Callithrix jacchus: one gene and its partner. The protein of the gene in region 1 interacts with the protein of each later gene in a pairwise test. Links are inferred from orthologs where the notes say so. Each region holds a gene or a part of one and is shown on either strand. Other genes may lie near its edges. The genes, in order: MCM3AP and MCM3.

The links.
Region 2: the proteins of MCM3AP (region 1) and MCM3 interact in a two-hybrid assay, tested with the Homo sapiens proteins (2 studies listed by BioGRID). The link is inferred for Callithrix jacchus from reciprocal best matches to the Homo sapiens genes MCM3AP and MCM3.

What each region holds. Positions count from the first base shown.
Region 1 is NC_133522.1:51,860,816-51,876,891, forward strand, and holds the start of MCM3AP (germinal-center associated nuclear protein), read right to left. Parts: upstream 14,385-16,076; 5' UTR 14,282-14,384; intron 13,927-14,281; exon of another isoform or gene 13,876-13,926; intron 13,288-13,875; 5' UTR 13,197-13,287; coding exon 11,975-13,196; intron 11,432-11,974; coding exon 11,208-11,431; intron 9,186-11,207; coding exon 9,107-9,185; intron 8,755-9,106; coding exon 8,610-8,754; intron 6,556-8,609; coding exon 6,365-6,555; intron 3,113-6,364; coding exon 2,973-3,112; intron 995-2,972; coding exon 797-994; intron 1-796. Other genes in the region: endoribonuclease YbeY, read left to right, coding at 14,996-15,205.
Region 2 is NC_133505.1:60,618,478-60,634,653, forward strand, and holds the start of MCM3 (DNA replication licensing factor MCM3), read right to left. Parts: upstream 8,445-16,176; 5' UTR 8,328-8,444; coding exon 8,250-8,327; intron 7,021-8,249; coding exon 6,908-7,020; intron 6,498-6,907; coding exon 6,289-6,497; intron 5,812-6,288; coding exon 5,681-5,811; intron 3,000-5,680; coding exon 2,761-2,999; intron 2,250-2,760; coding exon 2,141-2,249; intron 232-2,140; coding exon 78-231; intron 1-77. UniProt on the Homo sapiens protein: Acts as a component of the MCM2-7 complex (MCM complex) which is the replicative helicase essential for 'once per cell cycle' DNA replication initiation and elongation in eukaryotic cells.

The DNA of each region.
Region 1 (16,076 bases):
CTCAATTTCTCACATTTCAATATGAAACGAAGCCCATGATGCACGTTTTAATAGACTTTGTAGTGATTTGAATAAAAGTACTTGTTTTTTCTTGAGACAGGGTCTTGCTGTCACCCAGGCTGGAGTGCAGTGGTGCGGTCTTGGCTCACCACAACCTCCCCCTCCCGGATTCAAGCAATTCTCCTGGCTCAGCCTCTTGAGTAGCTGGCACTTTATAGGTGTGTACCACCATACCCGGCTAATTTCTTTTTTTTTTTTTTGAGACAGAGTCTAGCTCTGTCATCCAAGCTGGAATACAGTGGCATGACCTCAGCTCACTGCAACCTCCACCTCCCAGGTTCAAGTGATTCTCCTGCCTCAGCCTCCTCAGCAGCTGGGATTGCAGGTGCCTACCACCACACACGGCTAATTTTTTGTAGAGATGGGTTTTCACTGTGTTGGCCTGGCTGTTCTCGAACTCCTGACCTCGTGAACCGCCCACCACGGCCTTCCAAAGTGCTGGGATTACAGCCATGAGCCACCATACCTAGCCACACCCAGCTAATTTTTGTATTTTCAGTAGAGACTGGGATTCACCATGTTGGCCAGGCTGGTCTCAAACTTATGACCTCAGGTGATCCACCCACCTCGGCCTCCAAGAGTGCTGGGATTACAGGTGTGAGCCACTGCACCCTGCCCATGAAGGTATACTTTTATTACAGATAAAATACGTAACTGAGTAAAATAATAAAAACTATCAGTGTGACTTTGAAATTTGCATGCATTTTTTAGTGTCCAGGTTGGAAGCCGCCTATACCTTCCGTATGCCACGTGTGCGGTTCCAAACGAAGTCGTACCAGTCCCGCAGGCTGCCCTCCTTCTGATCCATGATCTGGGTCACCAGGTAATCCATAGTCCTGCTGAGCACTGCCAAGGGCCGCAGCTCGTGGGGCAGAGGCTCCTCCTGATCAGCTGAGGACCGGCTGTACTCTTTCACGGCTGCTGCATGGTCCACCTAGGGACACAAAGCAGAGATGGGCTGCCCATGAGAAACATCTTGGGCCAGGCACGCTTATGCCTGAAAATGAGGGAAAATCACATACATGCCCACACAGATCAATATTTGAGAACATAATTTTTTTTTTGAGAACACATTTTTTTCAACATAAATTTCTTTTAAAAAGTGACAGAATTCAAAGGCAAAATACATTGAGAAATTTGATTTGGCAAATACCACAAGGAGTTAAGACAGCAGTGTGTCATGACAAACGGGAGGAATGTAGATGAAGGCACATCTGCACGCGCCAAAGCAGAGACAGGACAGGGAAGGGCCTCAAAGCACTGAACAGGTCTCAGCGCTGCTCACACAGCAGCTGAAGTCTACACAGACCAGAAGTGAAACAGAGACAGGCAGTGAGGACTGTTGAGGGCACAGCAGGAGGGGCCAGCTGCTCATCTGGGGCCTGGAGCTGCATCTCCCACCTCAAAAGGAGGTTGACAACATGGCCAAGAGGAGACGCAGAGACATCCGCAGGATGAGGCCCTGAGCATGTACTTTCTCCTGCAGCAGGGGCCCCACACCTGCTGCTGGTCTGGGGACACTGCACTGGGTGAAGGGTGTATAAAGCCACCAGCCAGAAAGAGAAAGAGAAGCCCACAAGCAAAATTCACAAAGTGCAAAGGATCTAAATTGGTGCAGCTTCCTAGGGAAGCAACTGGGGAAGATACACGGATAATCTTCGGGAAAGGTCAAAGCCTCCAATGCAGTAATTTAATTCCTAGGGTCTGAACAAAGTAATCTCAACACCAGAGAAACACACAAGACGCCAACTCATGTTATTCAAAGAACTAACAATTTACAAACAGCCTATGACAGAGCTACTGATAAAATGTGCTGTCATTTCTACATGCTCGTAGTTCAGCATAACAAAAGAAAATGTTCATGACATAATTTTAAGTGGGAAAGATACACATAAAATTATATCCAGAATATATTCCTGAATGTGCAAAACATAAGCATAGAAAAGGATAAGAATGATTGTAAAAAGAAAAAAGCTGAATGTGGTGGCTCACGCCTGTAATTTCAGCACTTTGGGAGGCGAAGGCAGGTGGATCACTTGAGCTTAGGTGTTCAAGACCAGCCTGGGCAACACGGCATGACCCCATTGCTACAAAAAAATAAAACAATAACTGGACATGGTGGACCATGCCTGTAATCCCAGCTACTCAGTAAGCTGAGTGGGAGGATCACCTGAGCCTGGGAAGTCGAGGCCACAGTGAGCCATCGTTGCACCGCTGCTCTCCAGCTAACGTGAAAGAATAAAGTCCTGTTTCTAAATGAATAAATATTTGAAAAACAACTCTATTTAAACAAACTTGCAGCAAGTCAGGCATGCTGGCTCATGTCTGTAATCCCAGCACTTTGGGAGGCCAAGGCAGGTGGATCACTTGAAGTCAGAAGTTCGAGACCAGCCTGACCAACGTGGAGAAACCCTGTCTCTACTAAAAACACAAAAGTTAGTGGGCATGGTGGTGCATGCCTATAATATCAGCTACTCAGGAGGCTGAGGCAGGAGAATCACTTGAACCTGGGAAGCAGAGGTTGTGGTGAGCTGAGATCGCGCCATTGCACTTCAACCTGGGCAATAAGAGTGAAACTCCGTCTCAAAAAAAAAAAAAAAAATTTAAAAAAAAAAAAAGAAAGAAAAAAGTGAAACTCTGGCTCAAAAAAAAAAAAAAATTAAAAGAAAAAAGTGAAACTCTGGCTCAAAAAAAAAAAAACTTGCCTCTATAACTTATCATGTATAGGTACCAACTACAGAGTGAACATCTCATGATGCAAAAGAGCTGAATATGACTGTTAATGGCACAGATACCCAATAGCCTCTAAAACAAGCAAACACCTCAATCCAGTATGCACAGAATTACAAAAAAAGCCTCCTCTGCACAGCCTGCCTCCAGCCTCCACTCCGCGGGGAGACGCAGGGCTTTACCTGGTCAGTCCCAGGGATCACTTCAAACACGCTCAGCTGGCTTCGGGTCTCCCGCATGTACCGCTCCTTCTCGGGACACATATCCAAGCAGGTCCCAACGAAAGTCCTCGCTTTGTCCAGATCGGTTCTTTTCACCCGCGCTAAATGACGTCAAGTAAAAGGTAAGAACGTACCACACAGTTAGCATAAACCTACAGAAGTATACGCTCATAATGATAAAAAGAACTTAAAACTTAAAACACACCCACATTACAAAGGAAAAGAAAAATATCTGTTAAACTGTGAGCCTCAGAGAAAGAGGGCTTAGGGTCTATTCTGTCAGGGAGTGGGACACCAAAGCTCCCAAAGAACCCTGGGTCTGCCGCTCTCCAGCAGTCACAGACCCTCACAGCAGACTCTCCAGGAGTCACAGACCCTCACAGCAGACTAAAAGCAGGGACACAGCCTCACTTTCAACCAAAGTTTTTAACTCCTGTCATAACCTGAATGACAGACTCTCATGGTGCAGGATGTTTACTAGAAGGATTGACTCGTTACAACTGCAAATATTCCAAATACTGGCTGGGCACGGTGGCTCACGCCTATAATCCCAGCACTCTGGGAGGCCGAGGCAGGCAGATCACGAGGTCAGGAGATCAAGATCATCCTGGCCAACATGATGGTGAAATCCCGTCTCAAAAAAAAAAAAAAAAAAACCCAGATGCAGTGGCTCATGCCTATAATCCCAGCACTTTGGGAGGCTGAGGCGGGTAGATCACCTGAGGTCAGGAGTTCAAGACCATCCTGGTCAACATGAGGAAACCCTGTCTCTACTAAAAAAAAAATTAAAAAATTAGCCGGGCATGGTGATGGGTGCCTATAATCCCAGCTTCTCGGGAGGCTGAGACAGGAGAGTCACCTGAACACATGAGGCAGAGGTTGCGGTGAGCTGAGATTGTTATCATTGCACTCCAGCCTGGGCAACAAGAGTGAAACTCTGTCTTAAAAAAAAAAAAAAAACAAATATACCACTACTCTAAAACTCTCAAACAGTATTCATCATGACTTGAATGTAAGAATCACATAATGGAAGTTAACTGGGTTCTTACCTGAATAAGTAAACTGCTATGATTACACTTAGAATTAAATAGTTACAAATGTATCTAGCAAGTAAAAAGAAATGCAACAACTTCACAACTCAAAATATATACTTCTTGTTTTTATTCTAAAAAGTTCTATAACCTGAGCTTGGTGTAGTAGTGGCTCACGCCTATAATCCCAGCACTTTAGGAGGCCAAGGTGGATGGATCACCTGAGGTTGGGAGTTGAAGACCAGCCTGACCAACATGGAGAAACTCTGTCTCTACTAAAATAACAAATTAGGTCCAGTGTGGTGGCTCACGCCTGTAATTCCAGCACTTTGGGAGGCTGGGGCAGGAGGATCACCAGAGGTCAGGAGTTTAAGACCAGCTTTGCCAACATGGTGAAACACCATCTCTATTAAATATACAAAAATTAGCCAGGCATGGTGGTGGGCACCTGCAATCCCAGCTACTCAGGAGGCTGAGGCAGGAGAATTGCTTGAACCCGGGAGGGGAAGGTTGCAGTGAGGTGTGATCACACAACTACACTCCAGCCTGAACAGCAAAGCAAGACTCCATATGAAAAAAAAATACAAAATTAGTCAGGCATGGTGACACATGCCTACAATCCCAGCTACCTAGCTACTTGGGAGGCTGAGACAAGAGAATCACTTGAACCAGAGAGGTGAAGGTTAGCCAAGTTCGCACCATTGCACCCAGCCTGGGCAACAAAAGTGAAACTTCGTCCCCTCCCCCCCCCCCAAGAAAAAGAAAAATTCTAATACCTGGTGTACCACAACTGTAATCCCAGTACTTTGGGAGGCCGAGGAGGGCAGATTGTGAGGTTAAGAGTTCGAGACCAGCCTGGCCTACATGATGAAACCCCATCTCTACTAAGAATACAAAAATGAGCTGGGTATGATTGTATGCACCTGTAGTCCCAACTACTTGGGAGGCTGAGGCAGGAGAATTGGTTGAACCCAGGAGACGGAGAATGCAGTGAGCCAAGATCGCACCACTGCACTCGAGCCAGGGCAACAGAGCAAGACTCCATCTCAGGAGGAAAAAAAGAGAAAGAAAAATTCTAATACCTAATGATTTTATTTGGAATATAAAAATCACTATATCAATGACACAATGTATGATGGCAGCTTTTGTTACCATATAGTAAGGAAACACTGTGATTATTCTAATTATCCACAACTTTTAAAAAAGGGATAGCTGAATTTTTTTTTTTTTTTTTTTGAGACAGAGTCTCACCCTGCAGCCCAGGCTGGAGTGCAGTGGACAATCTCAGTTCACTGTAACCTCTGCCTCGAGGGTTCAAGCAATTCTCCTGCCTCAGCCTCCCAAGTAGCTGGGACTACAGGTGCACACCACCGTACCTAGCTAATTTCTGTTTTTTGTTTTTTGTTTTTTTCGTAAAGACGGGTTTTTGCCATGTTGGGCAAGCTGGTCTTGAACTCCTGACCTCAGGTGGTCCACACGCCTCAGCCTCCCAAAGTGCTGGGATTACAGGTGTGAGCCACTGTGCCTGACCCAGCTGAAATTTAAGACAAAAAAATTGGCAAAGAGGAGTACCTGTGTTTTTCCTTTTATTTTTGTTCCCTGCATGTATTTTCAGTGTTAATGGAATACTTTCTTTTTAGTAGGTAATACATTCACACAGTTCAACATTCCAATAGGGTAAGGATGTCCTGTCCGAGATGGAACACTACACCATAACCTCTGCCCTTCAGAAACCCACTCTCTTGGCCAGGCGTGGTGGCTCATGCCTATAATCCCAGCACTTTGGGAGGTGGATGGATCACCTAAGGTCGGGAGTTCCAGACCAGCCTGGACAACATAGTGAAACCCTGTCTCTACTAAATATACAAAAAATTCGCTGGGCATGGTGGCACATGCCGGTAATCCCAGCTACTCAGGAGGCCGAGGGAAAAGAATAGCTTGAACCCAGGAAGGGAGGTTTCGGTGAGCTGAGATCGCACCATTGCACTCCAGCCTGGGCAATAAGAGCGAGACTCATTGAAAAAAAGAAAAAAAAAAAAAAAAAAAGAAACCTGCTCCCTCTATAGACATGAGCCTATCCTTTGCCTGCTCCCACTACTATTTTACACACACATAAGCAAACATATTTGAACCTATATGTACACACACACAGAGCACTCACTCCAAGGAAGACTGGCCAACCATGAAGCTCAGACACAGCACATCACAGGCCCTGAGGCTCAACAGCAACAAAGCCCAGTGGAAAGAAGCTGCTCCCACTCTGATGGCACCCAAGAGGACGCCCTCCCAGGCCCCCAGAACCTCTGCCACCATGCATCATACCTTGCCGCATGATCCTGTCTCTCTGGTCAAGCAGGCGGTACTTCTCCTTGGACGTCTCAGCCACGGTGCCTATCAGGGCGCTGAGGGGGGGCACACATGGCCCAAGGCCCTCGGAGCCCTCAGAGCCTGAGTCAAAGGAGTCTCCCTCAAATTGGTGGGCCTTTAGGAGACTTGGCTTCTTCACTGGAGAGCTATAAAGTAAACACCACATTGAGGGCCCTTGTACCGGTAAGGCCTTTAGAGAATTTTCATTTCTGAATATATCCTCTCATCTTTCAAGATCTTCTGGTTCTCTGAAGTTGAGAAACTACAAGCACTAAAATGAGGGGTCTTGATAAAGATGGTGATAAGCACAAAAGTGTTATTCACATTATTCACTGACCTTAACATAATTTTGAAATATTTCATACTTTTGAAAAATAAAGATAGCCTGGGCAACATAGTGAGACCTCATCTCTACAAAAAACTGAAAAATTAGTCAGGCATCTGGCATGTGCCTATAGTCCCAGCTACTCAGGAGGCTGGGGTGAGAGGCTTGCTTCAGTCTGGCAGGCGGAGGGTGCAGCGAGCTGAAATTGCACTGCTGCACTCCAGCCTGGGCAACAGAGCAAGACTCCATCCTTACCACCCCTCCAAAAAAACAAGACAGGCTCACACAGCTGAAAGGAACACTTACAGATAGAAATGAAACTCGCATGAAAAACACCTTTAATATAAGTATTATGCCTACGTGTTTTAAAACAGAAATTTATTTTGGTCTAAGGACATACTGAAAGGAATTGGGCATCCTCTCTCAGCTTCCCCATTTTCTGGCTTTCATCATTTTCTAAACTTGAATGTCAAAGCAGCACCTAAACTGTTCATCACAAAATGGGAAGTGAGAAAAATACATTGGCCAAAAGATAAAAAGACAGATTAAGCTGGAAACCTGTCAGAGTAGGCCTGGTGTGAAAAGGAAAAGCCTTTCAGAACAAGACAGCCAGGGGAGCGCACATCACACGCCAGCTCACACAACTAACATGGCCAACAGCATCTGTTTCACTGTGATAACCTGTACCTACAAAAAGTCATGCTGTCCTTCCTGTAGGAGACAGATTTTTAGTGGGGTGGGGGGAAGTCATGCTGGAAACTGCTGGAAGTAATTATTAAAAATGCACGGTGTGGCCAGGTGGGTGGCTCACACCTGTAGTCGGGAGTTCGAGACTAGCCTGGCCAACACAGTAAAACCCTGTCTCTACAAAAAAAACACAAAAATATTAGCCAGCATGGTGGAGCACCTGTAATCCCAGCTACTAGGGAGGCTGAGGCAGGAGAACTTCTTGGAACACAAGAGGCAGAGGTTGCAGTGAGCCAAGACTGCACCACCAAACTCTAGCGTGGGCAACAAAGACTCCCATCTCAAAAAAAAAAAAAAGAGGCCGGGTGCAGTGGCTCATGCCTGTAATCCCAGCACTTTGGGAGGCTAAGGCGAGTGGATCACCTGAGGTCAGGAGTTCGAGACCAGCCTGGCCAACATGGAGAGACCCCGTCTCTATTTAATAAAAATTAAACAAAAAAAAGAATGCATGGTTTATTACAGCCAGTTAGATGTCTTAAGGAAAAAAGTTATTGCTTATACGTTTACATGCCAAGTGGAACTGCACTCAACTGCAGTGGAATTCAGGACAAGTAAGGTGAGCGAGGAGATCTGCTACTACACCTTGTGAGGCAGGCAGCCACAGGGTGCCAGGCTGCAAGTGTCTGTCCCACAGAGCTGGCACTGTGTGTCCTAAGTGAGCAGCCTCCCCCGTTCTCCTGTGATAGCTGCTGTAGCTGAAAGGCCTTCACCAGCTACAGCAACTGTATGACGAGATTCTCCCATAGAAAATGCCGAGATGGAAACAAAAAAAAAAAGGCCAGCCCCAAAGGAAGGCTTTCTCAGCAACCTTGACCCTAGGGTATGTGAGAACAAGACAGGACAGTATCACTGCTCTCCACCTTCTCTGCAGCTGGCAGGTACCAGCGTCAGAAAATTCTCTCTCCTGGCTGGGAGCACCAGACCCACACAGACCCACCTCCACATGGCCCATTCTGGCTGGAGGGGCAGGCTCAGGAACCCCTGCCACTCGACCCCCAAGCATCCCTGACAACTGGCTCTTGTTTCCTTACACCCCCCCCCCAACCCTGCAGCCCCAACTCAGGTGTCACTGTAGGGCAGTATTTCCTGGTCCTTCCCAAATAAGGTCATTAGGAGGGGCCATCCCACCTTTTATTCAGCAGGCTGCTAGCACCAGCCCTCCCTGCAGCCTTGCCAAGAGGAGAGTGCTGAAACGGAGTGTCTTCCGGGCTCGGGCTGACTACAGCATCGCCAGGCTTCTTCTCCTTCAGGGAAAAGGGTTTCTTATTGGGGCCTGAGAACATATGAGGCAGAAAAGTTTATGCAATCACAGATCACCTGGTACTGGACTTTTTCACTTTGTTTTTGAGAAAGTAATATTCTTGTCATTGTCACAGGAGGTCAGAGAAGAGCCCGAGGAAATAACTGTGAAATGAAAATCCAGGCAGAGCCAGCCTCCCCCACTGGCTGGAGAAAGGGCCCACACTCCAAGGGTTTGTACAGAGCAAGAGAAACTGAAGAGAGGGCCACGCCACACACAGCGGCTCATGCCTGTAATCCCAGATCAGCCTGGGCAATGTAGTGAGATCTCATCTCTATTAAATTAATAAAAATACTTTTCTAAAAATTGAGAATTGAAAACTCACTTATTTTCTTCCTGTGCCAAAAGATCGCCATGTCTTTATGCAAACTTTTCCCCTTCTTTCTAGCCAGGGCTGCAGATGCCTAGAAAACAACCGCCAAGTGTAAGTACATCAGGAGACTAAAGGAAATGAGACTGAAAACTCAAATGCAGTGAGCAAAACGTCCATTCAATAGCACCAGGAGCCCCTGTCCTCTGTTCACCAGTGATACCTCCATCCCCCATCTGCTGCCTGCAGAGCCTTCAGCTGTGGCCGCAGAAGTCCACCTCCCTTACCTGTCTCACAAGCATCTATTTGCTCTGCTCTTTTTTTTAAATTAACAACTTTGCCTCAGAGAACTCACAAACTTGGCCTCTTCGGCATTTGCTGAGATGATTCTCACCAGCTAATTACATATACAGAAACAAATTTTTCGAAGTCATAATGAAGCATAAAAGAGAGCTGCAGAATAACACACCGAGATGCCATTTATCACAAAAAAGACACAAAACCAACCACATCTTAGTCTCCTTGTAGATACTCATAAAAATGTCTAGAAAAACACACACTACAGTAGGAGACTGGACTGCTCTTGGTAACAGGAGAGATGAGGGTATTCAGCTTTGTCTGTACCAATGAACTGCCTATAAAAGCAATGTATTTACATGTTAGCTCATAAAATATTTAATGTTCAGCTGGGAAAATGAGCACATTACAACAGGCAAAAAATGACTTTAAAAACAAATGAGAGGGCTAGACATGGTGGCTCATGCCTGTAATCCCAGCACTTTGGGAGGTCAAGGTGCATGGACCACTAAGGCCAGGAGTTCGAGACTAGCCTGACCAACATGGCGAAATCCTGTCTCCACTAAAAATACAAAAATTAGCCAGGCATGGTGGTGCACACACAATCCCAGCTACTTGGCAGGCTGAGGCAGGAAGAATCACTTGATCCCAGGAGACAGAGGTTGCAGTGAACCAAGATCGTGCCACTGCACTCCAGCCCGGGCAACACAGCGAGACTGTCTCAAAAAAAGAAACAAAAGCAACAACAACAAAAGGACTATGTAGTTAGAGCTACTCCAAAGCCTTTCGGAAGAACTTCACTTTACTCTGTAGTTAGAGCTACCCCAAAGCCTTTCGGAAGAACTTCACTTTACTCTGTAGTTAGAGCTACCCCAAAGCCTTTCGGAAGAACTTCACTTTACTCTGTAGTTAGAGCTACCCCAAAGCCTTTCGGAAGAACTTCACTTTACTCTGTAGTTAGAGCTACCCCAGAGCCTTTCAGAAGAACTTCACTTCATGGGAACAACTCTCCCAGCATTTCTAGAGCACTGTATTCTGCAGGGACATGGAATACCCCAAGTTATGAAATAAATAGTGCTATCCCAGCCTATCTTAAGAATAAGATACTTGGCTGGGCATGGTGGCTCACGCATCTTAATCCCAGCACTATGGGAGGCCAAAGTGGGTGGATCTCAAGATCAGGTGTTCAAGACTAGCCTAATCAATATAATGAAACACTGTCTCTACTACAAATAAATTAGCCAGGCATGGTGGCAGGTGCCTGTAATCCCAGCCACTCAGGAGGCTGAGGCAAGAAAATCACTTGAACCTGGGAAGTGGAGGTTGCAGTGAGCCAAGATCTTGCCACTGCACTCCAGCCAGGGCAACATGCAAGACCCCGTGTCAAAAAAAGAAGAATAAGATATTTCAGGCTGGGTGAAGTGGCTCACACCTGTAATCCCAGCACTTTGGGAGGCCAAGGTGGGCAGATCACCTGTCACCTGACCAACATGGAGAAACCCCATTTCTACTTAAAAAAAATACAAAACTAGCAGGACATGGTGGTGCATGCCTGTAATCACAGCTACTCGGGAGGCTGAGGCAGGAGAATTGCTTGAACCCAGGAGGCAGAGGTTTCAGTGAGCCAACATTGTGCCACTGTACTCCAGCCTGGACAACAATAGCGAAACTCCATCTCAAAAAAAAAAAATAATAATAAGATATTTAATTTCCCAATATTAAATAACTGATAAACCATGATGCCCCCCCCCCAAAAAAAACAAGTTTTACAGTGCCGTAGTTGAAATCTAGGGTAACACGGCAATACGGAAACACTCACATGATCAAAGAAATGTATCACTGCGAGCTTTTTGCTGCGCCTGGTGAAGATGCGCTGCACCTTGGCGATTTTGCCGAAATGGTTCTCCAGGACGGTTCTGCTGTTCAGGTAGTCAGGGATGTTCTTGCACTGGATTGCTGTGACTTCAGAGGGAGACAAGCCCCCAAGACTATCTGTGCTCTGGCTTCTTTTACTCTGATGCACAGGAGTTCCTCTTAAAGAATCTAGGGGTTCAGAGAATAGACACTTAAACCATCATATGTAACGCTAACAACAGGAGGCACCAACTGTGTAAAAGCAAAGGAAATGTTCACAGGTATAAGACCTGCTCCATACGACATGTAGCGTCCCTAACTTTTTTTTGTTTGTTTTGAGACAAAGTCTCGCCCTGTTGCCCAGGCTGGAGTGCAGTGGTGCGATCTTGGCACACTGCAACCTTTGCCTCCTGGGTTCAAGTGATTCTCCTGCCTTAGCCTCCAGAGTAGCTGGGATTACAGGTGCCCGCCACCACACCAGGCTAATTTTGGTATTTTTAGTAGAGGCGGGGTTTCACCATGTTGGCCAGGCTGGTCCTGAACTCTTGACCTCGTGATCCACCCACTTCAGCCTCCCAAAGTGCTGAGATTTTAAGCATGAGCCACCGCGCCCAGTCCAGAATCCCTAATGTTTATGGGAGACTTATCTGAAAAATCAAGCTAACACCCAGAGAGACTTATTGGGAAACTGCCAGCAGAATTTACACTATGTTCCACATTTTCAGAACTCACCTTCTTTTTTCTCTCTACTTTCAGTTTCTTCCTCTTTATTCAAACCTGGAATCCGGGAAGGTGCCAGGAGAGACTGACTCCCTCCTGGGGTAGCCATGTGGTCACTTTCTCCAGACTCAACAAAGCCAATGTCCTTTTTGGACTCCTTGCTGCCCAGGCGACCTACTTCTTTATTGCTTTTGAAAACATCCTGTATCGTCCGACCAAACAAAGTACCTCCCCGGGGTCTATTCAGGCGGACAGGTCGTTTATCTGGAGGATGATCCCCCCTGGACAGAGGATCAGAATCTTCTGCTATCTCATGGCCATGTCTCCTTGGGGAACGATCCTGGTCCTCCTTCCTTTTCAGGCCTTTCATTAGGCTGGGAGGTGGTTCCCCTTGGGAAACAGCTTCTTCACAGCCCTGCCTGACACCTGCTTTGCTGACCTGAAAGGGTTCACCCAAAACTGCAGCTGACGACACAGGGAAGCTACTGAAGCTATTATTAGAACTTCCAAAAACTGACTTAGGTCCTCTCTTCTCTTCCTCTACATTTGGGTTTGACAAAGCAGGGGTAAAAGCAGATAAGGAATTACTACTACTAACTGGTTTTGAAAAGGTAAAATTCGAGTTGGCAGCTGAACTACTTGTTACTTGAGGAAAAGAGAAAGGGGTCAGGCCTCCAGGTGCACTACTAATTGGGTGGGAAAATGTGAAAAACCCAGAAGCAATTTGGCTCTGGGTTTTCTCTGGCTCAGCATCAGTCCCCAATATTGGTTTGAACACTGCGTTTTCCAGAGGTTTAAAGCCGAATTCTGTTTTCCCAAAACCAGAACTCACTATGTCTCCAGCTTCTTGTCCAAAAGTAGAAGTGCTTGGGAAAGCCCCCACACTGGTGGGTGATTTAAAACTAAATCCTGGGTTTCCCAGCACAGATGAACTTGAAGGCCCAGAGGTAGCTACAAAGGTGGATGTGTGGTCAAGTCCAGAAAAGAGTCCAACAGTTGAGGTTTGGGTGAACCCTAATGTTTGCACTGAAGAGGAATGACTTACTCCAGGAGATGCTGGAAAGCTGGATAGCTGTGAAAATCCTGAGCTCTTCCCACATAAGGTACTGTTTTGTCCAAAAAGAGGTTGACCAAATCGAAACGGTGCCTTGGATGGGAATGCTGTTATGGAACTACTAGAAGATGCTGAAAAAGCACTAGGCTGCTGCCCACTGAAAGGATTAGTTGGGTTCATCTTCTGATCCAATTATTAGAAGGTAATAAGTATTACGTGTACGAAATTAATTGGCTTTCTGAAACAGTCTCCCCTTCCTCTTCATAACAAGCTGAAAGACAGAAGTTCAGATCATCACAGCTACGTTCTGCTACAAAATTAAGAGAGGAACTTTTGAACAAAGTCACGTAAAGATAACTATTTTCAAAGGACTATTATTTTCTGAGAGCCAATGGGTTCTTTTGTTGGAGGATGGCGTAGAGAGCGGTACAAATAATTACTTTGTTACAGAGGTTTAAAGCGTGATCCTTTAAGATTAAAAAAAAAAAAAAAGGCCGGGCGCGGTGGCTCATGCCTGTAATCCAGCACTTTGGGAGGCCGAGGAGGGTGGATCACGAGGTCAAGAGATCGAGACCATCCTGGTCAACATGGTGAAACCCCCGTCTCTACTAAAAATACAAAAATTAGTTGGACATGGTGGCGCGTGCCTGTAATCCCAGCTACTCGGGAGGCTCAGGCAGGAGAATTGCCTGAACCCAGGAGGCGGAGGTTGCGGTGAGCCGAGATCGCGCCATTGCACTCCAGCCTGGGTAACAAGAGAAACTCCGTCTCAAAAAAAAAAAAAAGCCACATCACTGCGTTGGTAAATTCATTAAAAACCTCCACTGGCAATAAGAAAATGAATGCTGTTCCTCCTTACGACTTAGAGATGAATCTCTCCCGAGTGCCTCCACTCGCTACAGCCGGAGAACTGGAATGTAACGCAGTCAGAACGTTAGCGTTTCGGGGTCTCCTCCCACCCGGCTTCCCTCAGGGCGGCTGGAGCGTTAAGCCCGTCTTCACGCATCCCTTTACCTCGCCCTGGCAACCCCCCCGCCCCCGGGGCGCTGCCACGGAGCTGCGGCCTGTCGGCGGGGACGGCGTGCCCGGGAAGCCTAATCTTCCACCCAGCACAGCCCGAAAAGGCGGAGGCCGCAGTCCCCGGGCTCGTCTAGGGCCGCCGACGACGCAACGCTCCCTTAGCGATAATGGGGAGGGCCCGGCGCGCGGAGCTGCGCGGGGGAAGGAAGCGTCGTCTCCGGCGCCTGCCCAACCCCCACGCTCACCGTCTCGCCGCTGGACCCCGGGGCCCGCGCAGCTCCCGGACCCCTACAAAGGACGAGAGGCGCAAGCCCCCAGCCTGTGGCCGCGACGCCTCCACTGCGCACTGGGGACGGAAAACGCGGCGGACCGACTTCCGGCTCGCGCAGCACTACCGGGTTCCGCCGCGATCGGCTTCCGCTCTCGGCACCCTGCTAGGCGGCGGAGCTTCCGGTGGGGCGGGTGCGCCCCACCTTGTACCGCGACCTTTGCCGGGTCTGGAGCCCGGTACGTGCGGGCGGGTTCCTAGTCTCCCAAACGGGAGCGTCCCACTCATCCGCGTGGGTCCGCAGGCTCCCCAGACCCCAGAGGACCCCACCCCACACGCTCACCTGTCTCCCCTCCTGTCCCTCCCCCATTCCATCCCCTTCCCTCCCCACCTCGCGGCGTTCGCGCGCACCGCCCACCCGCCCCGTCTCCGGGAACGGCTCCCCCCCCCTCGAGTCCTTCCGGCCTGACTCCGCGTCTTCCTTCCATGGCCCCTGGTTTTTGTTCTCCTGTGGTAAATGCAAATTCCCGTAAGATTTTCAGTCACTTCCACCAAATAAAGTGATTTGATTGCGTGCGCATGAGTTTTTTTACAGAATGTGCCGTCACTTTCTTGTACTGACTGGTCTTCTCTTACACTTTCACCCAGGTTCCGTGGGAAACATTTTTAAGGGCCGGTTGTTCTTCCTGAAATGAGCTTGGTGATTAGAAATCTGCAGCGAGTCATCCCCATCAGGAGAGCGCCACTTCGCAGTAAGATCGAGATTGTACGGAGGATTTTAGGAGTGCAGGAATTTGACCTGGGGATCGTCTGCGTTGACAACAAGACGATTCAGCACATTAATAGAATCTACAGAGATAGAAATGTCCCAACCGATGTGCTTTCTTTTCCATTTCATGAGGTAAAAGTACATTTCCTGTATTTTTTTTTTTTTTTTTTTAATGAGAGGTAGTCTTATTCTGTCACCCAGGCTGGGGTGCAGTGGTGCCATCTCGGCTCACTGCAACCTCCCCTGCCTGGGTTCAGGCAATTCTCGTGCCTCAACCTCCCTGGTACCTGGGACTACAGGCTCGAGCCACCACACCCAGCTAATTTTTTGTTGTTGTTGTTTTGTACGTTTAGTAGACACAGGGGTTTTACCATGTTGGCCAAGCTACTCTTGAATTCCTGATCTGGCCTTCCCAAAGTGTTGGGATTACAAGTGTGAGCCATAGTGCCCAGCGTAAATTTCCTGTATTAATTATATTGCAGGCTAGGCTCTACGGCACATATAAGTATATATATTACAGACGTGATTTTTCATTTTAATTTTGGAAATTTTCAAATAGACACGAAAGTAGAGAGAACAGTATGTTCAGCCTCCATTGATCGATGCCCGTCACCCAAAGGCCACAATTACCCTGGTAAGCCAGCAGGAAAAAGAAAAGTGACTGCCAGGCGCAGTGGCTCATACCTGTAATCCCAGCACTTTAGGAGGCCAAGGTGGGTGGATCACCTGAGATGAGGAGTGTGAGATCAGCCTGGCCAACATGGTGAAACCCTGTCTCTACTAAAAATACAAAAAATTAGCTGGGCGTGGTGGCAGACACCTGTAATCCCAGCTACTTGGGAGGCTGAGTCAAGAGAATCACTTAAACCCCAGAGACAGGGGTTGTAGTGATCCGAGATTACACCATTGCACTGTAGCCTGGGCAACGAGAGTGAAACTCTGTCTCAGAAAAAAAAGAAAAAGAGGCCGGGCACAGTGGCTCACGCCTATAATCCAAGCACTT
Region 2 (16,176 bases), on another chromosome or scaffold:
ACAATCTTACATATTATAGGTCTCTAAAACCATATTCCAAAAAAACAAGAGTCTAAAGCAGATCTCCAACATCGTACCTATTAGAAGAATATTGATGTCCCCACGGATGTGGCTGCCATTTTCTAGGTCTCGTTCCACCCCTCCCAAGAGCAAGCAGAGGATTGCTTTCTTGACATAGTCATGCCCATGGATACTAGGGGCCAATGACCTGGCCAGCTGGTCAAAGATATCCTACAGGAGAAATAACCAATGGCAAGCCTAGTGAAATTCAATGGAACTTTGTGGAGCTCCACTTCATATACTTTGGCCTACAGAAAATACTTGAAGAAATATACAAACATGTACATTGTTCCTAAGTGCAAAAGCTTCTGCTCTAAGACAAATCACATTATCGGGCCATTATCAGAGTAGGCACAGAGGCAGCCTGGATTCTGAAACCTGTTTAGAGGTTTAATCTTCAAGGGAAAAAAAGCAGCCCCAGGTTCAAAACATTTTAGGTTTAATAAGAATATGTACTATGCTTGAGCGGTAACCTTTATCATCACACATTCATATATGTAGTTCAATTCTAAATGTGGGTATACATCCTATCTTTAAAAAGAAAAACAAGTTGAAGAACTAAAACAAAGAAAAAATGTTTAATTTTAGTAATGCATCACTAATGTCTTCAGTAATAAATAGACTTATTGGTACACTATTACTGAATTGGTACACTATTTATTACTTATTGGTACACTATTTATTACTTATTGGTACACTATTTATTACTGAATTGGTACACTATTACTTATTGGTACACTGTTACTGAATTGGTACACTATTTATTACTTATTGGTACACTATTTATTACTTATTGGTACACTATTTATTACTTATTGGTACACTATTACTGAATTGGTACACTATTTATTACTAAATTGGTACACTATTACTTACTGGTACACTATTACTGAATTGGTACACTATTTATTACTAAATTGGTACACTATTTATTACTTATTGGTACACTATTACTGAATTGGTACACTATTTATTACTTATTGGTACACTATTACTTATTAGTACACTATTTATTACTTATTGGTACACTATTACTGAATTGGTACACTATTTATTACTTATTGGTACACTATTTATTACTTATTGGTACACTATTACTGAATTGGTACACTATTTATTACTTATTGGTACACTATTTACTTATTGGTACACTATTTATTACTTATTGGTACACTATTACTTATTGGTACACTATTACTTATTGGTACACTATTACTGAATTGGTACACTATTACTTATTGGTACACTATTTACTTATTGGTACACTATTTATTACTTATTGGTACACTATTTATTACTTATTGGTACACTATTTATTACTGAATTGGTACACTATTACTGAATTGGTACACTATTTATTACTTATTGGTACACTATTTATTACTTATTGGTACACTATTACTTATTGGTACACTATTACTGAATTGGTACACTATTACTGAATTGGTACACTATTTATTACTTATTGGTACACTATTTATTAACTGATAAGTTAACTTCTATCCTAATATTTGTATTAGGCTCATTTAGCAGCCCAACAGGTAGCAGGTATTAAAATTCTGTTTAATAACAAAGAATGATTAAAGAGCAAACAGCAAAAACACCCTTTCACTTGTTGATTGGGACAAAAATAGAAGAAGCTAACACCAAATACTTTAGAGAAAAAAACTTCAACCCTTCCTTCTGATCTAGTACAAAAACAGCCATGCACCAAAACACAACTCTTAGAAATCCATTCCCACCCTCAAATATTAAAGAATGCCCAGACCAGCCGGGCACGGTGGCTCACGCCTATAATCCCAGCACTTTGGGAGGCCAAGGCGGGAGCATCACAAGGTGAAGAGATCAAGACCATCCTGGCCAACATGGTGAAACCTCGTCTCTACTTAAATACAAAAATTAGCTGGGCATGGTGGAGTGCACCTGTAGTCCCAGCTACTTGGGAGGCTGAGGCAGGAGAATTGCTTGAACCCAGGAGGCGGAGGTTGCAGTGAGCCGAGACCTTGCCACTGCACTCCAACCTGGTGCCTGGCAACAGAGTAAGACTCTGTCTCAAAAAAAACAAAATGAATGCCCAGACCTTGGATCGGGTTTTACTGAACTTCTTGATCTTGGCTATATCCTCAGCAGAGAAAGAAGGCTGAGCGTCCTTGCTCATCTGCTTCACATTACAGGCAATCAGGACAGTCCTGGGACAAAGAGAATAAAGAGGAAGGCTATTATATTCAATTCCTAACATCGGTAGCTAGTACCCCAGCAAGAGTAAGCCTTTTTAGGCTACCAAACTAGACCAGCAGATCAGAGTTGATTGGGTGGGGGGTAACTTGTGAATTAAACAACTGGTTCTGTCTGTGACCCAAATATGCTGATCATGCCCCTCCTCTGAAATTGACCAACAGAGCTTCAGACACTGTGTATGGGGACTAAGTATAATTACATGAGAAACTCCCAGGAAAGCCATGAAGACTATAATCATTGTCACAAATAAGTCTTATTTTTGGCATATGATGGTAAGTATCACCAGCTTTATCTGACAGAAAAAAGGTACTGAAGGTATCCTGTCTCCCAGACAGAGAGAGCGCTCCATCTCACAGATACAACTCTCTGTTGTAATCTGTAATACAGCAAACTGAAGAAAGGATATTACCAGAAATAGAAGCTGTCAACAGCATTCCATACACTTTAAGGCAGACCTTTTACCTGAAGGTCCCAGAGGTATAGCCTCCCTTCTTTCCAGGAAGGCAACGGTAGGTTCCCACCACCTGAACTCGGTCACCAGGCTTCACTTTATCCACCAAGTCATCATCCAGAATGACATCCACAGAGCGGGGGAGCTGGCCGGCTGGGGCCTTCTCCGGCATCTCCTGGATGGTAACGGTCTGGTGATCCTTGTAAACAGACAGGCCATATTCTGTCTCAAGGGGATTGTTCTCCTCATCCTAGAAAAAGACACACAGAGGGGTAGAGTGATCTCAGTCCTGTCTTAAAAATGCCACCTTCTCTAGCTTTTTCTGTTCCTGTCTGTTTTAGTCATAAATCGTTGAATGGAAGGGGCAACCCCTAGTCTGAATGGACTAGGTTATATTAACATCTAAATTAAGATTCTTACTTCCCCTCTAAAGCTGAATATATGCTTAGATTCTGAAGCAGTTTTTTCACTCCTAAGTAATACCGAACAGAAATATTCACCCAAAATCATAAACTATAATGCTCGTAGCAGCATTATGCCTAATAGTCAAATATTTTACAATTTTAAAATGCCATCAATAGTATAACGGTTAAATAAACACAGTATATTTGCATAAATGAATACTATATAGCAATAAAAATGTATGAAAAACACCTATCCGCAACATGGATAAATCTCATAAACACAAAGTTGCTCATAAACACAATGTTGAGCAAAAGAAGCCCAACACAAGAGTATTTAAATACAACAGAAAAACAGGCAAAAGTAATCTATGCTGTTAAAACATCAGAATAGTGGTTACTCTTGGGTAACATGAGCCCTCAAGACGGACTTTTGAGTGCTAATGTTTCATTTCCTCATTTGGATGCTGGTTACACAGATATACTCAGCTTGTAAAACGTCATCAAACCATACTTATGTGAGCTTTTCTATATGTCTATTAAAGTTTTACTTCCTTGACATTTGAATTTTCTAAAAACAGTTGTCACTTATTGAGTGCTTGCTATGTGCCAGGCACTGTGCTACTACTTCACAAAATTATCTCATGTAATTTTCACAACTTTATAAAGAAAGTATTTTTCACACATCATGGACAAGGAAACCAGGATACTAGAGAGATGAAAGAAGTTCCCCCAGGTAACACAGTTAAGTAGCAGAGTCTGGACTAGACACAAATGTGAACTCCAAAGCCCACATTCTTAAGCACCAGCCTAAACAACCTCCAGAATATCTGATCCAATGTATTTCACTTTTTGAACAAAGAAGCTTGGCCACAGTAATCAACAAAGGAGTACTCCCTGAGTATTTCCTAAAGAGGAAATTCTAGAAAAGTGGACACCTTAAGGTCCAAAGACATCAGAATGACTTAGAAAATACAACTGGCAGGCTGGGTACAGTGGATCATGCCCGTAATCCCAGCACTTTGGGAGGCCAAGGGTGGGCAGATCACCTGAGGTCAAAAGTTCGAGATCAGCCTGGCTAACATGGTGAAACCCCCATCTCTACTAAAAGTACAAAAATTAGCCAGCTGGGGTGGCAGGCACCTGCAATCCCAGCTACTCAGGAGGCTGAGGCAGAAGAATCGCTTGAACACAGGAAGTGAAGATTGCAATGAGCTAAGATCAGGCCACTGTACTCTAGCCTGGGCAACAAGAGCTAGACTCTATCTCAAAAAAAAAAAAAGATACTAAAGAGACACAGGTCCTAGTCCTTAAGGCCATCACTAACTGGGACAATAAGCGAATCATTTAACTTCTCTGATCTCAGCATTTCATCTGGAGGTAGACTAAATGATGCTAATGTATGTTTAAGGTATGATAATTCTAAGATATTCATTCTTGTTTTTGTTTATATGTTTCATTTCTCCACCACTTCGAAGACTGATGATGAGGACTGGTCTAATTTATATCCTTGTCCTCCACAGGGCTTAACAGTGCTTTGAATACAGTACTTCTCAATTAAAATTTGATGAGAGGAGGAGAGGAATTCTCTGATAGAATGATTTCAGACATCAAGTAATCAATATGAACGATCTTTTGTCTCCTGAGGAAAGCCTTGCATTGTCCTCAATCCAGATCAATCTGAACACTAAGAATAAAGAAAGCTTTTTCCTATGCCAGCCTTCTCCCAAACCCACAACAAAATATTTGTAAAGATTACCTAACAGTCTAGCATTATTTTTCTACTTTTTAAAAAGCAGATCATAAAATTATTTGATTATAACTTTGTTAAAACATCTATGTAGATGACTACTCCATAATTTTCTAAAGTGAACAAGTGTCTTCTTAAAAAAATAAGAAGAGCTGTGGCTGGACATGATGGTTCATGTCTATAATCTCAATACTTTGGAAGATGCAAACAGGAGGATTACTTGAGGCTAGGACTTCAAGGCTAGCCTGGGCAACATAGTGAGATCCCACATCTATAAAAAGTGAAAAAAATTAGCATGGCGGTGCATGCCCACAATCCCAGGTACTCAGGAGGCTAAGGTGGGAGGATTCCTTGAGTCCAGGAGTTTGAGGCTGCAGTGACCTATAATCATACCACTGCACTCCAGCCTGAGAGACTGAGATCCTATCTCTAAAAAAAAATAAGAATTAGGAAGCCAGGTGTCGTAGCACATACCTGTAATCCCAACTACTCAGGAAGATCACTTGGCCTAGGAGTTTGAGAATTTAGTGCACCATGATTACACCTGTGAATAGCCACTGCACCCCAGCCGAGGCAACATAGGAGGACCTCATCTTTAAAAATAAACAAGTAAGAATTGTGAGATTTTCATATTAAACTCTGGCCTGCAATCAATCTTTCCTTTGGATTAGTCCTTGTTTTTTCACCCTTTATAGAAAAAAGACTTCAAATATTACACAATTCCTTGCCTTTGGAATCTTTGACTCCAACCCCCAAGAAGGCTGAATGTATCCCCCCTACCTTAGTGGGATAGACAGAGCTGGAGGGAAAGGCCACCAGGGTGGTGAGATCAGAGTAACGTCGTTCTATGGTCTTCTTAGTAGCAGGACAGTAGTGGACACTGCGGACGACTTTGGGACGAACTAGAGAACCTACGAATGAAAAATGTGCATAAAGTCACCCAACTAGACAATGACACAGGTGGGACCCAAACCTATGTAAGCCTATGATGACTCCAAACACTGTGTTCTTTTGACAGGATTAACCTATTTCAATATTACCTTTTATTCACTTTTTATTTATATATAGACCACCACCATATCCATGTAAAAGTTTAAGTACTACCAATTCCAACTAATAGGTAGAGTTAGGGGTTGAGATAAGAGATTGCCACGAACCAAGACTCCTCCAGCATTCAGCAGAATTCATCATTCTACTAACTCAAGTGGTTACTCAAGATCCCCCTAAACATTGTGCACTGAGCCTCTCGAAGTTTTACCACATAATTCCAATGCTCCACTTCTTTGAAGCCACAAGCTACCCAGATCTACCTTGCCCTTCCTGCTTTCCCCATCTCCTTCAGTCTATTCTACCTTCATTTCCTTAGTGGCCCCCTTTAATCCACTTACATTTAGTGACAATGCCCTCCACACAGACCACACAGCTGAGGAAACAAGAGGTAAGAGTCCGCGGGGAGACGTGCTTGGAGCCAAAGCTGCCCTCCAATCCTATGTAGAACTCCTCATACTGCTTCGCATAGGTAGCATCAATGGAAGCCACAAAATCCTTTAAGGCCCGCTGGAAGGCAACCAGCTCCTCAAAGGCATTGTTCAGGAGCCTGTACATGGACAAGAGAGAGAAAAATTAGGGAGACAGGGCAGAACTATTTTAAAAAATGCATTCTCAAAACAGCAACTATTCTTGAATCATTAAGAACAATGAGACAATCCAGCTTCTGCTTTCTCCTGCCATCCTATAAGACTCAGCAGAATACCAGAACTAAGGACCAACTTTAATTCAACTTATCAAATATATAAAAATCATACTCAGCTAAGCATTGGAAGGAGGGTATTTGGGAGGAAAATGCCAACCACCTACTTTTTGGAAGAAAAATAAATAGATGCAGGTGAGCTATGAAGGCTTCTAGATCAATCCTGTTTCATACATGTCCTCTCCTGGGAGGCTGTTCCAATCTGGAGGGAAGGGAGCCATTCTCATTGGGGACCATTATATCCCCTTGCCACTCACCGGTTAGCCCTCTTCTCGTTTTTCCTGCGCAGGTCATTCACATTGACAATCAGCCGGTATTGGTTCTCACTGATCAGCTCCCGAACTTTGCTCTGATAAATTCCCTGGTCTTCCTGCAAAACAGCCACCACATATCACAATAGCCACAAATTCAAAAACAAATTGTTTCTAACAGACACAGTTCTCATAGCCAGATAACTACATTAATCACTGCAGCAGAGCTGAATCCCAAGTATATGCTCATCAATGTTTCCCTTTCATTCACTATTTTCAGATTTGAAATACACCCTAAGAGGGAACTGTAAGAATTATAATGACTTCCTCAAGGTCCATGCTGTTATTCCCATCCTCATGGACAACTTTTCTGCATGCTGTCATTTCTGTCTTTAGTGAAGAATTAAAATGAGCTCATGAAAAGTCTAAAAGGACAATAAATGCAAACTTTGTTAAAATGTAAGTAAACGTAAAACGTAACAATGTGAACAGATGGATATGTTAATTTGCACACTGTATATAGTATACATTAACACATTTCACTATGTATATCAATGTATACATTATCAATGTATGCTATATTTATATGTAGCATACAAATTTAAGTGTATATATTTGTACATTTTGTACACAATAAAAATGTAAATTAAACACTCTTAATATTCACATTGAGATGGCTTTTCACTTAAGAATTATGTACAGAAGTAATATTTTTCCCTATCATTTCTGTAACACAGCAAGTGTTCCTTGCCTAAAATAGAGAATCTCTGCTATCTGGTTACATCATCAACCCTTCAGAATGGTTTTTCAACATTTACGGCTTTAAGTCTTGGGTTGCACATGAAATCCCCTTAGCCTGCATACAAAACACTTTTTATCTGCATCTTAGTTGGTACTGAAAAACAGTGCAGCCGAATTAGGAAGTCTTTTTCTCCAGGTAAAAAGTCAGTCCCTAAAATCTGAGCACCCTGCAACGCGGCTGATCACTACAGCCCTAGGGCATTCATTCCCTAGCCCGCAATCTCCCCAAATCAAGAGAGAGCTGGGAGTGAAGTGCAAAAGGCCAAGGTGGGGGTTTGCCATTCTGCTTGCACTTAATGGGAACCTGTCGCCTTTCGCGCGCCCGGAACATCGCTTGTACTCAGGACAAAGTTAAAGGATCGCTTCCTGAGAGTTCGCTTATGGAACACAAACTAGCAAGTTCAGCGAGAGAACTACAAGATTGGGGCGGGAGGCTCGGGCCGGCAGGCTCCGGAAAAGCACACGGTCTGGAGGTCTGGCGGGCCTGGCCGGGCCGCGTCCGCATGGACTCCGAGCGCTAGAGCCCGCGCGCCTGCGCCTCCCTCACCTCATCATCCAGGAAGTCCAGGTAATCTCTCTGGGCCTCCCGCAGCTCCACATCGTCCAGCACCACGGTACCTGCCATGCCCGCCGCCGAAGAACTAACTCTACCAAAGCAGCGCGGAGGTTCCAAGGATCACTCCACCCCCACGGGAAACTTACGAACTTTTCCCGCCACCAAAAGTTACCTAGAGGAAGAGGCGGGGACCCTGGGAGCATATAAACATTATGATTGGCTGAATTCTCTGACGCCAGAATAGCAACTGTCCAATCAAAAGCTTATTCTTCTCCGGGTTTCCGCTGGGCGCCTCCCGGTGGAGGGAAACGTACCATCCGGGATTCTAGGTTCCTCCCCTCCCACCTCCACCCGCCTCACTGACTAGCAAACTAACCAATAGGGCCGAGAGGAGGTTCACGGAGGCCGGTCATTGGGTAGCTGGAGGGCGCGGCCTGGAGACAAGGAAAGCGCTGCGTTCTAGGAGCGTTCTCCCTCTTTCCCGGATATTTTGCAGGGTCTTTTCAAGCTGCAAAAGTTTTGACCCGAGGCAGTGACCAAATTCTGGCTAGCAGTAGGACTTTCCTTGAAAGTAAACAAAACGTCAGAGGATGGTGGTTTATAACATTTTTTAAAAATAATTTTTAAGATGTATCCAAATCAGAACTGCCCTCAAGGGGCATCCTAGTGGAAAAGTGGATTTTGAGAATCTATAGAATAGAATATAGAACTATAGCATCTTAGGGAAAGATTATTTAGTTGACCTATTTGCTGTCTGATAACCGTGGCCTGAAGAACCCCATAAAGACATGAGGCAGCGGAGGATGATGAAGTGAACAAAAAAATTCGGTATTTACCACGCCCCTTAGAGACCGCAGCCTGTGTTATACAAATTCTGGAAACAGTTACTACTCCCTCTGATTTAGTAACGGGTAAATTAAAGACTTTCTGGTCTTATAAAAAGATAACAGGATCCGGCCGGGCGCGGTGGCTCAAGCCTGTAATCCCAGCACTTTGGGAGGCTGAGGCGGGTGGATCACGAGGTCAAGAGATCGAGACCATCCTGGTCAACATGGTGAAACCCCGTCTCTACTAAAAATGCAAAAATTAGCTGGGCATGGTGCCTATAATCCCAGCTACTCAGGAGGCTGAGGCAGGAGAATTGCCTGAACCCAGGAGGCGGAGGTTGCGGTGAGCCGAGATCGCGCCATTGCACTCCGGCCTGGGTAACAAGAGCGTAACTCCGTCTCAAAAAAAAAAAAAGATAACAGGATCCTATTAAGCAACTTAGCTTACTGAATGATCAACACAAAGGGGGAAATAGTGTTTCATGCCGCCTTTGATTAAAAATCAATGGTTAAATGGTTGTAATCATTAAAAGATCATTGCATATCCAAATTTGTATGTTAGTTTTTAGTCCGTCCTCGTCGGGTTTTTATTATTTTTTAGTTTTATTTTGAGGTATAATCTATATACAGTAAAATGCACAAATCTTCAGCTCAATGAATTTTTACCTGTTAACACCCATGTAACCACTCTACACAGTAAAGAGCATGCCCATTGCCCCAGCATATGTTTTTAATTTTACTGAACAAGAAGCTAAAATACCAGATTGCCCAACACCAGACAGTTGATAACTTGTTATCTGAAATTTCAGCCAACTGATAATTAGCTTGTGTTTGAAAGTCTTCAGGACTCACTATGTACCGATAAATATTCTAAGAATAATCTGCCTAAACGAAATATATATGCCATCTATCTGTGTGGGTATATGTATTTCTAGTTATGCAATTTGTAGTTATTACATGTTTTGTGCCATCCTAGTAGGCAGATAAATCTATCCTTAGCCAAAGCAAAAAGGCTATTTGACTGCTTGCTTTTGTGTATATTAATGGGCAAAAAAAAAAAGAAAAAATCTAGAATAAAGATCCTGTTTGCAGTTATATAGCAAGAAGTAATTGCTGATTTACTTAAGACTTTTTATCACTTGATCATAACTCTTATGAATTTATTGGACACAGTACTGAGATAAACTCTGCTCTGGAAACAATTTGAAATTAATACTAAAAGAACCGGGAAGCTTAGTTCAAACTAGAAGAGAAGTCAAGTAATTTGCAGTGGAAAGTCTGAAGGAGTGGAAATCTGAAAACCATATCTTTTATTCTCCACTTTTTTCTGGGCTGGTTTCCTTATATACAGTATAAGATGAAGAAACTGAAGTAGAATATCTCTGATAATATGGCTTACTCTAACATTCCATGAGCTAATGGCAAATTTGGAAACTATGTAATGACAATTCTATTTAATGAATTAATTATGCCATGGTCTTTGATAAAGACTTGATTTGTCCTAATGTCATCATCTTCAGTTGTGAAGGACACACCTGTATTTAATTGGTGTTTCTCCCTTCTTTCATTAGGGCATGAAATCTTTTTTTTTTTTGAGACAGAGTTTCGCTCTTGTTACCCAGGCTGGAGTGCAATGGCGCAATCTCGGCTCACCGCAACCTCCGCCTCCTGGGTTCAAGCAATTCTCCTGCCTCAGCCTCCCAGGTAGCTGGGACTACAGGCGTGCACTACCATGCCCAGCTAATTTTTTTTTGTATTTTTAGTAGAGTCGGGGGTTTCATCACGTTGACTAGTATGGTCTCAATCTCTTAACCTCGTGATCCACCCGCCTCAGCCTCCCAAAGTGATTATAGGCGTGAGCCACCGCGCCCGGCCAGGCATGAAATCTTTAAACAGAGGAAATGTGTTTCCTTTGGATCCCCCATACCTACAAACTGCCCAAAACCAATCAGGTTGTTGCTGCAGAGTAATTAGGGCATTTGAACATATCTCATATAGAGTCAAGCTGAGCTTACCCCGTGGCCTTCCTCTATCCTGATTCAAAATTAAAAAGCACATATCACCTAATAAAGTAGTATATCTAGTTTCCATACTTGGGTCACATTCCTGCTTTCCTCAGTTTCAATTTTCTTTCCACCCTAGATTTTTTTTTTTTTTTTTTTTTTTTTTTGAGCTGGAGTCTTGCTCTGTCACCAGGCTGGAGTGCAGTGGCTCAGTCTCAGCTCACCGCAACCTCCGCCTCCTGGGTTCAAGCAATTCTTCTGCCTCAGCCTCCGGAGTAGCCAGGACCACAGGCGCGTGCCACCACGCCCGGCTAATTTTTGTATTTTTAGTAGAGATGGGGTTTCACTATGTTGTCCAGGATGGTCTCAAACTCTTGACCTCGTGATCCGCCCACCTCAGCCTCTCAAAGTCCTGGGATTACAGGCGTGAGTCCACCTTACACTTTGATGGACTCAAGCCCATCTCCAAGGCTACCTAAACACTAGGGGGCTCCCTGGAGAGCAGAATATAAAGGATGACAGTAAAAAGAAAACAAGATTGCAAAGAGATTGCAAAATAGATGTAATACTTCCATTCTTCTAGGTCCACAGGGTCCAAAAAATACCCAAAGGCACAATACAAATCCATAATACATATTACTGACACGAAATTATATATACCTTTGTTCAAACCAATGAACATTATATGTTGCAAAACATTTCAAATAATACCCTGTGATTGATAACCTGTTTAGGTACTCAGGAAAGTGCCATAATTCATTAGTAGCCATTTGACATTTACTCAGAAACCACCAAAGCTTGGAGGTGAGAAAATCTATGCCTCCAGGTGTCACAGCAGCTCAAGGAATCATCTGCAGGCACAGGCTTGCCCTAAACTAGCAGTTCCACAGTGTGAGATCAGAATCTTCAGATGCTATGGCATCTAGAGTGTCAAGCACCAAGACAGGCAGATTTGGTACTCTTTCTGGCTGCTCTGTATATTATCTGTGCCATATATACAGATACATCTTACTCTGTGTCTCAGTTTTTCACCTTTCAAATTAGGTTAGTAATATCTCGCTCAAATAAAGGTTTAAGTATCCAGTGAAGTCATAACAGATGTAAAATACTGAAAAAGGTGTCAGGTATTTATTAAGCATTACATAAATGTTAACTATTGATAGTGGTGGTGGATGGTAGTTGGAGAGGAGTCAACGGATAGGAGAAGGGGAGCAAGCACTGTAGTGTATTCTGGAACAATTCAGACAACTGAATTCAAGCCCCCTTCCCACTTCCACCAAAAAACTTATAACACAACCAATCCAGACACTTCGTGAATGAGACCTTTTTCTGCTGGAAGTCCAATTGGCCAAAAAAATGACATAGGCAGGTTATTGTTTGGCTCTGATTCTACCAGTGTTGGAAGCCATCAGATGCATTTACTCCATGCTCAAGGAACATTATGGAATACTTAATGGACTTTTTTAGAAAACTCTTTTAAAAGTGTCTGATCGGCCAGGTACAGTTGGTGGCTCACACCTGTAATCCCAGCACTTTGGGAGGCTAAGGTGGATCACTTGAGGTCAGGAGTTTAAGACCAACCTGGCCAACATGGAGAAACCCCATCTCTACCAAAAATACAAAAAATTAGCTAGTCGTGGTGGCAGGCACCTGTAATCTCAGCTACTCAGAAGGCTGAAGCAGGATAATCGCTTGAACCCAGGAGACAGAGGTTGCATTGAGTCAACGTCACACCATTGCACTCCAGCCTGGGTGACAAGAGTGAACTCCGTCTTAAAAATAAATAAGTGAATAAAGAGCCTGATCACCTTTCATGTCTCCCTTTTGCATTCATTTGTTGCTTCCTGGAGGCCTGGTTAGATATGCTAAAAAGAGCAGGAAAATCCAGGAGCCAGACAGAGAAAATAATTGATCCTGATTTTCCCATTAAATGTAACAACACAGTTGGCTTGCCAACAATTAGCAGTTTGTTGGTATTTGCCAAGGTTAATTTCAGTAATCTGATTTCTTAGTTCCCTGAGATGTCATCTCCATTCTTTTTTTTTTTTTTTTTTTTTTTTTTTTATCCTGAGAGATGGGTTCTCATTATGCTGCTCAGAATGGTCTCAAACTCCTGGCCTCAAATGATCCTCCCACCTTGGTGTGAGCCAACATGCCCAGACCCCAGTCTTAATTGTACAAGTCTTTAGTGATGCTCTGAAGAGCTTTACTTCAGTGCTTAGAGCCACAGAGATTTACAGAAGGAAATTACTAAAAGTGAATTGAGTAGCCAGGCGCGGTGGCTCACGCCTGTAATCCCAGCACTTTGGGAGGCCGAGGTGGGTGGATCACGAGGTCAAGAGATCGAGACCATACTGGCCAACATGGTGAAACTCTGTCTCTACTAAATACAAAAAAAATTAGCCGGGCATGGTGGCACATACCTGTAATCCCAGCTACTTGGGAGGCTGAGACAGGAGAATCGTTTGAACCCAGGAGGCGGAGATTGTGGTGAGCCGAGAATGAGCCATTGCACTCCAGCCTGGGCAACAAGAGTGAAACTCCATCTAAAAAAAAAAAAAAACATATTGAGCGAACATGAATACAGCATATGAAATGCTCAAATAATAACTCCATTTTGTAAATTTGTCTAGATTTGTTGTAAGCATGCATTTTTAAAGATACAGTGCCTTAATGTAACAAAATGATGTATATCGGCATTGTAGGGGAATAAATAAATAAATGTTTTTAAAAATGATGAAGAGCTTTAGTCATACCAACCAATCAAGTATTAGTTTAGCATCTGTATACCTAATTCTGTTCTGGAACAGACTTTTTTAGATCAATGCTGCCCGATAGAAATATAATGTGAGATGCATATATTACTCAAGTTTTACAGTAGCCACATTTTAAAAGATACAAAAGGGCCAGGCACGGTGGCTCATGCCTGTAATCCCAGCACTTTGGGAGGCCAAGGCAGGCAGATCGCCTGAGAATGGGAGATCAAGACCAACCTAACCAACATGGAGAAACCCCGTCTCTACTAAAAATACAAAATTAGCCAGGCATGATGCTGCATGCCTGTAATCCCAGATACTCGGAAGGCTGAGGCAGTAGAATCACTTGAACCCGGGAGATGGAGGTTGCAGGGAGCCAAGATCATGCTACCGCACTCCAGCCTGGACGACAGAGAAAGACTCTGTCTCAAAAAAAAAAAAAAAGAGTAACCATTCATTGAGCATGTACTATGTGCCAGACACTTTGCTAAGCACTTTATAAACCATAAAATCTCATTTAATTTTTACCTCACCTTGTGAAGTGGTTAATTTTAATCCTCATTTTACAAGTGAGAAAACTAAAGTATAAAAGATCTCAGAATTCTGTACTAGCAAGGGGCAGGGATAGGATTTGAACCCAGATCTTTATTATGATATCAAATAGCATTTAAGAACAAATGAGAGCTGGGCACGGTGGCTACGCCTATAATCTCAACATTTTGAGAGGCCAAGGCAGGTGGATCACCTGGGTCAGAAGTTTGAGACCAGACTGACCAACATGGCAAAACCTTATCTGTAGAAAAAATTAGCCAGGTGTGGTGGCACACGCCTGTAGTCCCAGCTACTCAGAAGGCTGAAGCAGGAGAATCACTTGAACCAGAGAGGCAGAAGTTGCAATGAGCCAAGATTGCACCACTGCATTCCAACTTGGGAGACAGAGTGAGACTGTCTCAAAAAACAGCAAAAAAAAATGAATATGTTAAGGTTCAAATGTAGAATCTGATTCTTTTGACTCAGTTGAACTTATTTCAATATTAAATGGACAGGTATTTTATATTTTAAAATATTTTAATTGAGTTTAAAATACATGCTATTGGCATAATATAAAGCGTCATATTTATTAAAAATAACATATAAATTTGCACTGGAGTGATGAGGGAAGGCTAGTGAGAGGAGGGAGTATTTGATTTGGGGATCAAAAAGTGGGCAATCTTGCCTCTAGAGAGATGTGGCATTTTAAATAAAGGCAGGTATGGCCAAGCCCTTGGGAGATACCAATGTGACTAGAATGAAGGGTCCACAGTAAAGGTGTGACTGAAAGCAGCTGGGTGTACTGGGCCTGGCTCTAGAGGTCACTGCCAGCAGAATAAGTGCACAGTGCCTGATTTAGTGGGAGAAAGGGAGCCATTGATGGCTTTTGAGCACAGTAAAGACTATCAAAGTTGTGCTTAAGGAACATTAATCTGGCCAGAGCATGTGTAGAATTAATTATTTTAATTAAAAACAAGAAAGAAATGAGTCCAGGAAAAGGTGTTCAAAAAGTGATCTGCAAGGAAAGGATGAGGGCAAGACATTTTAGAAGGAAAACTGACAGATAGTAAAGCTATTTGGATGGAAGCAGGAATGAGGGAAAAGGAGGATTGATATGGTTTGGCTGTGTCCCCACCCAAATCTCATCTTGAATTGTAGCTCTTATAATTCCCATGTGTGTGGGAGGGACTTGGTGGGAGATAAGTAAATTATGGGGGCAGTTTTCCCCATACGACTCTGGTGGTAGTGAATAAGTCTCACAAAATCTGATGGTTTTATAAGGGGTTTCAGCTTTCGCTTGGTTCTCATTTCTCACCTGTCTGCCACCATGTAAGATGTGCCTTTCACCTTCCACCGTGATTGTGAGGCCTCCCAGGCACGTGGAACTGTGAGTCCATTAAACCTCCTTTTCTCTGTAAATTACCCAGTCTTGGGTATGTCTTTTTCAGCAGTGTGAAAACAGGCTAATACAGAGGGATAAAAATTATATGTAGGTAGCATAAATTAGATACACTGCCTCAAGGACTTACAAAAAAGCATACAAATGTTAAAGATCTTTACTTAGATCTTTAGTTAGAATGAACAGTTGTTTTATAGTTGACACAATGGATAAGAAATTTCAGAGTCAGTCAAGTCTCCCAAAACAGCAGTAGTCGAAAGAATTCAACCTTGACATTTAGTTTCAAAACTTTGTCTGGGACAGTATAGAAGAGGAAGGAAAGTTTATTTTGTTGAATTTTAAAACAAAGTACTATATACAAAGTATGTCTCAAGAAGGGAAAGTACATAAAGTATGCCCTAT